Daphnia pulex: one gene and its partner. The protein of the gene in region 2 purifies or fractionates together with the protein of the main gene of each other region. This does not show direct contact. Links are inferred from orthologs where the notes say so. Each region holds a gene or a part of one and is shown on either strand. Other genes may lie near its edges.

What was found.
Region 1: the proteins of anaphase-promoting complex subunit 2-like (region 2) and anaphase-promoting complex subunit 7-like fractionate together in Homo sapiens (co-fractionation; 6 studies listed by BioGRID and IntAct, with this or other methods). This does not show direct contact. The link is inferred for Daphnia pulex from reciprocal best matches to the Homo sapiens genes ANAPC2 and ANAPC7.

What each region holds. Positions count from the first base shown.
Region 1 is NC_060017.1:4,025,494-4,029,677, reverse strand, and holds the start of anaphase-promoting complex subunit 7-like, read right to left. Parts: upstream 2,947-4,184; 5' UTR 2,770-2,946; coding exon 2,704-2,769; intron 2,401-2,703; coding exon 2,184-2,400; intron 2,119-2,183; coding exon 1,827-2,118; intron 1,748-1,826; coding exon 1,564-1,747; intron 1,502-1,563; coding exon 1,364-1,501; intron 1,297-1,363; coding exon 1,231-1,296; intron 1,161-1,230; coding exon 1,057-1,160; intron 928-1,056; coding exon 783-927; intron 688-782; coding exon 609-687; intron 547-608; coding exon 497-546; intron 433-496; coding exon 287-432; intron 200-286; coding exon 79-199; intron 17-78; coding exon 1-16. Other genes in the region: myb-like protein K, read right to left, coding at 3,212-3,834, 3,948-4,184. UniProt on the Homo sapiens protein: Component of the anaphase promoting complex/cyclosome (APC/C), a cell cycle-regulated E3 ubiquitin ligase that controls progression through mitosis and the G1 phase of the cell cycle.
Region 2 is NC_060023.1:8,674,879-8,679,094, forward strand, and holds the start of anaphase-promoting complex subunit 2-like, read right to left. Parts: upstream 2,838-4,216; 5' UTR 2,726-2,837; coding exon 2,651-2,725; intron 2,572-2,650; coding exon 2,157-2,571; intron 2,094-2,156; coding exon 1,988-2,093; intron 1,921-1,987; coding exon 1,782-1,920; intron 1,705-1,781; coding exon 1,557-1,704; intron 1,499-1,556; coding exon 1,273-1,498; intron 1,207-1,272; coding exon 978-1,206; intron 906-977; coding exon 654-905; intron 585-653; coding exon 168-584; intron 102-167; coding exon 1-101. UniProt on the Homo sapiens protein: Together with the RING-H2 protein ANAPC11, constitutes the catalytic component of the anaphase promoting complex/cyclosome (APC/C), a cell cycle-regulated E3 ubiquitin ligase that controls progression through mitosis and the G1 phase of the cell cycle.

The DNA of each region.
Region 1 (4,184 bases), on a different chromosome or scaffold from region 2:
CTTCTTCAATGGTTGGCTTGAAAACGATAGCTTTTAACATATGCATATATTTTGTTTTTCACTTTAAATTGAATTTACCTCTTCATCAGAATCAGGAAGATCATCAGCTTCCAAATCCAGATGATTTTCTAGTTTAGCTACCAATGCGTTTTCAAGCCTATTGATGGCCTCAATGGTTTTTACGTTATTCGGTTCAAGCCTAAAATTACAAAGAAAAAAATTAAACACATGCATAGTATGTGAATATGCAAGTTAAAGTAAAATCAAGTGATAAAGATTCTCGTACATTAGTGCAGAATTGTACTGTTCCAATGCTTTATCCATATCTCCATTTTTTATGAATAGGTCTCCCAAAATATGATGTAACCTGTTTGTAGGTTGCTGATTTATTTGCTTAGTAAGCAGTTCAATGGCTTTTGATCTCTGGCCAGCCTGAAAATAATTGTAGTCAATGGTAGTTCAGTGAGTGGTTCTGTAGGATTGTACAGCTACTCACCTGCTCATACGAGTCGATTAAAAGGAATACAGCTGGAGTGTATCGAGGATCTACAACGGAAAACGTTATACAATTTTTTTTTTACACCGGAAACTATTCATGTTAATTTTACCCATGTTCAAAGCTCTTTCAAGGAAAACCTTGCCCTTTGCGGTTGTAACAGGATCCTTCAACAGGACGGATGCGTAGAGCTGCAAAGAGCAGTCAGCAATTTAATTAATGGCTCATTTGATAAAAATCTGCTTTAAACGAATGATTAACACGAAACACTGTAAAGAATGCTAACCGTGAAAGTGCGAGGTGTATGACCAATATGATGAAGAGAGCTAGCAGCTATATTCATGGCTTCTCGACTTCGCTGAAGCGCTAGATAACAGTGAACTATACCACGATAGATTTCGAATCGGTGCGGAGCTGTCTGTAATCCTTCCCTATTATCATGTTAAACTTGTTGTTAATATTACTATAATTTTTTTTTAAATATTACTAAAATTTAAAAAATATCTCAATAATTAAAAAATATATTTCAATAATTTTTTTTTAAACATCACAGGACTTACCTAAAATGTGTGATAGCTTCAGGCCATTTTTTAAGCTCTTGTAAAATCGTACCCTTAAGGATTAGGGGCTCTATCCCAGGGGTTGGAATGCAACATGTGCAAGCCTATGAGAAATATGTTTGCGCGGTTTTTAAAACTATTTGTAATAAGACCACATCGGCATTGCTATCTTACTTTATGCGCAAGGTACAGAGCGCGAGTTAGTTTGCGTGACAAAAGATAATGGTATCCCATGGCCACCTAATTTGATAAATTAAAATTAATACAGGAACAAGGGTAATTAGAAATAAAAAACAAATAATTTTACCCACGATTCGAAGCTAGAATCAGAAACAGAGATTAGCTTGAGAGCTAGTGCTTCAAGTTCAACACTTTTCTTTTCATTCGCTAAAATGACTGCTAAAATATCCATTCCTTTTAGCGACAAAGGATCGAGGGAATGCGCCTGAACAAACGCAAATATGAGATGAGCACCAGATATTTTTTTTCTCAAATCATTTAACATACTCGTTGAAGCGGTAGAAGGGCGCCCGCTCCATCCCCGGCCAAGAAAAGGGTTGTTCCTTGTGATACCAAATTTGTTACATCATCTTTGAGCAATGATGCATCTTGCAAATGGCAAAAAATGGTAGAAGCACTCAAATATTCACAAGAATGAAGATGGCACTGTCCTTTGATCCACTGAACAACCCTTCAGAATTTAAGGGAAAAAAACGAAAATAAACATTATTCAACAAAGATTTACATTTTATACATATGAGCCTACTCACCAATCTAAGTTATTTGATGGGTTTCCATTAAAAATTAAACGAACAAGTTCAACATAACTAACTCCAAGTTTAATCAAAGCCAATATAGCTTCTAGGGCCAAAGGACATTCACGAATAACCTCTTTAAAAGCAGAAATGGCTGGGCGTTCAAGCCCATTCATAACATACAACTTGCCTAAAGCCATATTAACCCTAACTGATCGTAGTTTGGCTGGGATCCCTTGAAGGACAAGAAGTGCTTGCACTGACTGTTTTAAAGCAAGGTGGCATATGTGCATTTGATAGCGAATCTCTAGAATTGTTATTTCAAACTTATTTAGGAAAAACTTGTTTATACTTTAAAACAGAACATCAAACCTGTTTCAGCTGAAAGCTCTTTGGCAGCACTATTTCCCATCCCCCTTTGTTTAGAAAGGGTTTTTCTCAGATCTAGGGCTTTTCTGTAATAAACTTCTGCTTTTCCATATTCCTTTTGTTCAAGGAATGAATCTGCAAGGTACACCATTGTTTGGGCAATGCTTGCAGGAGGTAAAAGCTCAGGATTGTTATCAGTAGCTGAAAGAACCATTGGAGCCTGTAGAAAAATTCCAGATATTCATTAGATTGGTAATTAGCATAGACTACACTACTTCGTAGTCTATGGTAATAGAATGAAATCTACACTGAACTCATTCCTATTGTCATACTCAAGGTAAAAGTCACCAGTAGCACTTATTCAAAATGGAATAATATGAGTTGTAGGAGTAGATACTACTGCCCAAACAAAAATATAAATGATATAACTAAAACATTTGTTAATATTTATAGCATTGCAATACAATGGTGACATTTAGCTATCGATAACATTCACGGAAAGCACAAGAAACTATATAGTTACCAGAGCAACAATATTTGTATAAAGTTTGTTATCAAACAACATTTGAATTTGCTCGTGAAGAATCATAATGACTAACTCTGAAAGTAATATATATACTCAAAGAGAAGAAAAAAACTATAACACAAACTTGATCAGCAGTCACCAATAAGAAAATCACAATATAAAGTGGTAAAGTGCAGAGAAGGGTTGGAAACGCGTAAAGTGCGGGATTATCGGTACGGAGAGACAACAAACAGCGTAGGCCTACCGGCGCACCAGCGTACTGAATGCTGAATCTACTAATTTCGTTAAAATTATTTAAAAAATTAAATTATTATCTAATCAAATTCAACATTCAGTAACAACATTCAATATTTTACTAACGTAAAACAATGTATATTTATTTTATTCCTTCCTCGACGAGAAACAGGAAAGAGAGATGCAAATAAAATTAAGTGGACGCTTTAATTTAGGGAGCAAAGTGTGGGAACATAAATATAAGAATAAAGTTATTAAAGGGAGGACGATGTTAGAACATGAACGGATTCATCATCGCCATTTGCTGTCGAAGCATCATCATTTGTTGCTGTCGTTGAAGCAAGAGCATTTGCTGCTGATGCATCATTTGTACGGCCTGAACGCTCATTGCCGCATTGCTCCCGAACGATGAATAAGGTAGACCACCGGCGACCATTGATCTATTGGGATCGGTGTAGTATCCTTGGCGGTTGGGGTTGCTTGAAGAGGCCAGATTGGCCAAACCCAAGAGTTGAATCAACGTCTGGTATCGTTGCAATTCCTGTTGGCTTCTGCTCGGCTGCTGCGCCAGGCTCATCTGAGAGAAGCCCAACTGTCCTTGCTGGGCCAACGGATTGACCATCATGGCAGCTTCCTGTTTCGTCACCGTCTGCTTGATTTGTTCCCAAAGCTGAGGACGCTTAGCCGGAGGCTCGTTCAGAAGCTGGGCCATCAGGATTTGTTGTTTGTTAAATTGCTGAGCTTCCGGTTTCACCTGCTGCTGGAGTACCTGCTGCTGGACCAAGAGCTGCTGCTTTTGCGCTTCCAGGTTCTGTTGAAGTTGCTGCAACTGTGGATTGAGCGCCGCTTGCATCACAGCACCAGGTTGGTGGCCGTTCACCATATTACTCTGATCTATAAATGCAAGAATGAAGGAAAAACAAGATAGAGGTCAATCAACTGATCAAACGGTTCTTAATGGCGTGAACGGAATTCGACTGTCATTTGTGTGTCACACGCATACATACTTGTTATGGCTGCCTGTGCTGTTGCAATCTGGTCTTGCTTGATGTGAACCGAAGCTAATAGACCCTGCTGTTGTTTTTGGTTCTGCAAATGGAAGTTTTCCTGTTTCTGTGCCTCCAGTTCGGAGGCTATGGACATGGGGTTGTTGTTGGAGTTGGTCATTTGCTGCAGGAGGGCCAATTGCTGAAGAGGACTTTGCATTCCGGCCGCGCTTCCACCGCTCAGCCCAGTGGCTCCTG
Region 2 (4,216 bases):
CAATAAACTTGCAAACCATCTTCTTCCGTTTTTTTCTCACTATCTTCCTCGTCGTCATCTTCTTCTTCTTCCTCCATTTTCGCTAGCGTTTCTAAAAGAATCTACGAAAAGGACGTAATTGCAAAATACATACATTTGAGAAACGGTAATAACTTTTTAAGATATACCTTATGTCCTGTGAAATTTGGTCCATTTTCATCCACTTTGAAGCGATCAGTAGAAATTTCCTGGAGGACCCCGTGTGTTTGCCACACGTGAACTCGCCTTCGAAGATGAGACATTGGTAATTCCATTTCCTGGCTAAGCTCTTCCAAATCCCATTGATCCTTGTCTTCAAAATGAGATATGATGGCAGCCAAATCGGGCGGGACGGTGAAAGACACGCAACGGTGATTATCAAACTCCAGTTCCAGTTCCACAGAACCCGACTGAGGTACCCAATGCAGAGAACGACTCGTTTTCACCGTTTTATAGTTTTGATTATATTGTTCGAGCTGGTTGATGATTTTGATCGGCAACTTCATCGGTTTGTCCTTCAGCTGGTCCCAATACTGAGCTGATATAATCATAGCCGAAATCGGAAACTGGATGGAAATAAATAGAAAAAAAATTAACTTTTATTTATCGATGCGCTAAACGAATTAAAAACGTACTTCAGGTTTGTGCACGACCGACTGTAGGTGGGTGTTGATTCTCTTGGAGTCTGCCACGTCCTTGAGCATCACTTCGCAATTGTGCAATTCGTTTTCTCCAAATCGAATTTTGAGAAATTCTAAATTACGAATCTCTTCTTCTGTGTCAAAATGAAGGTTCAGGAGCAATCGATCCGACAAAAGCTTGCGATATTCCTTGACAAACAGGCTTTTACTGCCGTAGATGTTCACCAACATTGGTACAATATCGCCCTTTTAAATAAGAATTTGTTTTACAGAACCGAAACTATTTTAAAAACATCTTTATTAACAAGATGAAATTACCGGCTTTTTTCCTGTCCAAAGTTTGCTAGGATCGGCATCGCTTGGTGCTGGAAGCCAATTTTCCCAATCGGTTGAGGCTTCGGTATCTCCAACTGCTGCAACAGATTCTTCATCCAGTATAGCAGTTCCCGTTCTTCCCAACTCAAGCTCTCCGCCCAGCTCTCCGCTACTGTCAGTCAAACTGTGAATTATATGCCGAACAGTGTCTCCTCTAAGTCGCAAATATTGCCTGTTGGAAATAGTTGAATACATCATAAGCCAAAAGTGACGGATCGAAATTGAATAATAATAATACTTGATCGGATCACACGCTACATCGAGAAGCACGCCAGTGGGATCAAGTACGCTAAACGCTCTTATGGCCGATACGTAGGCGATTAGTATGTCTTCTGTTGTGGCTCCCTGGTGAAGCAATCTTGCTTCTAAAGTCGTTTTAAGAGACTGCGCCAAAATTGGTTTCAACTGCGTCCGTGAAAGGCATTCCTGTAAATCCTTTACCGAAGGAAAGCTCTCGGGGTAGCCTATTACAAGAAAGATTATGAAACAATGAACACAATACATGATTTGGAATTGACGAACCGATAATGATCTCGAATAACTGTTCGATTCTAGCGTGTGTATAGGCGTGGTACAGGAATTGGGTAAAATTTTTTCGCACTTGATCCTGTTGGATGTAGTCTTCTCCATAGACGATACCTAACCACCGAAAAATTATGTTTTGCAACCACTGCAAATGGTTCAGAACAAGAAACGAACAGGGTGATTCAAATGCCCATTAAGACCATTAGCACATTAATAAAATACCTTTTCAAGCATTTCAATTTGAGAAGAGGAAAAGTTTCCTACACATGAATCCTGGACATGTGATTGGATTTGAGTCAAAATGAGAGTGTGAATCATCCCCACAGATAGTTTCTCAAGTATTCCTATTTCAGCCAAAGCCCTAAAAAAATAAATATGATCAAATGTGCTGAAACATAATCAAAGAGAAAAATGTTTTTTTTTTTTACTTGTTGGTGTTATGACAATTGTCTAGAATGACATTACATTCACATTGATCAATTTCTTGGTCACACCCTGAACAGTGAGTGATAACATCACCAGACTCATCTCCATCTTGAGTAGAAAGATGTAAATTAAAAATTCAATTATAAACCTACTTTAGAACAAGTATAATACCAAAGTTAAAATTCCTTTTTTCTAAAGACATGAATGCTCTGAAAGCTCGGCTGTAGAAGAAATTCACACAGCATTCAAACTTTGGTGGTATCTGAGACAGCAAAATTGCACTGAGGTGTGCCTGATATTGGGCGAATGATTTTGGCGTGACATTTCCTGACAGGTGATCCAACAAGGAAAAGTAATGCTGAAGGCTTTTAATGTCGGTGTTCAGAACTTTAACAGCCTCCCTATAGTTTTCGTAACCAGAATTTTCATTCTGAGTCACTTCAAATCTGGACCAAAAATTAGGGGTTATCCTATTTCGTGTGTCATTGAACAGCTTCTGCCAAACCAATTCCTTGCTGAAGTCTACCAAATCATGGTTAACAATGAATTCTGCACATCCTTCAATTTCGGTTCTGTCTAATTCCTTCTGCATGTAAAAATTCAAACGGTGAGCGTGAAACAAGAGTAATGAAACAAATCTACAAGTAACAAAAAAAGAATCATACTTGACATTTTCCATCAAGGTTCAAAGTTTGTTTCAGATAGTCCCAAGCAGATGAAACTGGCTTCACTGTGTTCATTTCGTGCGAAAATTTTGGGTTTTAACACGCTCTTAGAAAAAGATACAATTTTCATAAGAACTTCAGTTCAGACAAAAACAGAAAATTGTTATTTCAAAAAATTTGCTAATTTCGTCTGCTGGGCTACAAATGTCCACCCGCCAAAATAAAAGAACGACAACTAGAGACGACTGGTGGTAACTATATGCACCAGAACTAAGGAGGCGTCAAAAAAAAAAAATACTTTTCCGGATATAATTCTACAAAAAAGCTTTGGGGCTTTAAATGTCCACCTTCAGTATTTAAAAAAGATAATAAATTAAATATAAGTTCAAACGACATGAACATACACATTCAATCTATTAATTCGCGCAAACATCACGCTTCGATTTCACCCGCGGTCGCAGGGTTGAGTCGCAAGTTGATTTACAAGTAACAATTCTTCATCAAAATGTATAAACTAGCCAGCATCTGGTGCAGCACGAAGCTGATGTCATTTGATAATGTGCAGCATCGCTGCCCGGCTCCATGTGATTAATAAATATGCTGCTGGAAACGTTCATCGGCTGCTGGTCAGAGAGTCTGCGGTGTATAAAAGACGAACGATTTCGCAGCAGCACTCTTGTGCTGTTGCCCATGAAATCCAAATAGTATATATATAGTAGGATGATGTGCCAACTCAACCGGGTTCGTTTTTCTCCTGGAAAAGCCACACACATACAATTCACATCTGCCAAAAGCTAACGGTTTATTCTTTCTGCCTTGCGATGAGAGTCCGGGTGTTGCGACGGCGACGGTGATTCACATGACTGGAGTTGACAGCCAACGACAGCGCGACGGTGGTGGCGGAGTCGACAGTTATTGGCGCTCTTATCTGACGACCCATCAGCAAAATACACCGTGAACATGATTAAGATCATATAATAAAATCATAAAAAGAAAAGAAGAGCGATAGGAAATATCGAATCGTATAACATAGTTAAACGTTTTAAAAAAGAAAAGAAACGAAAGTTGATGGCTTTCATTCTCGAATATTCACGCAGCCGTGATCATCACAGCTATTATGCACAGACACGCCAATTATTGTGAAAGAAAACATCACCGAGAATCGATTTGGATGGGAGGCAAAGCGAAAAGAAGTTGGAATTGACCGGGGCAATGATCATCATCATCACGATGACCCGCGATGAAAATATTTCTTTCTAGGTATTTATTTTGAACGCGTTCATCTTTCACGAAGAGGAGGGATTAGCGGAGGACGGAAGGAACTTCATTTGTGTCTTAGCTAGATAGGCGAAGATATAAGAGAATATCTATAATTTAACTCGAGTTAATCTAGAGAAGGCGGCGGGGCTGGCGGTCCGTTGACCTGTTCACGCACCAGCAGCAGCACCGCCGCGTCGCTCCCGCGCCAACCGAGATCCGACCGACCGACCATCCACCAGACATGGAAGAAACGGGAGGGAAAAATCGCCATCCGCATCACACGCAGCCCATTCGGACACAACCTCC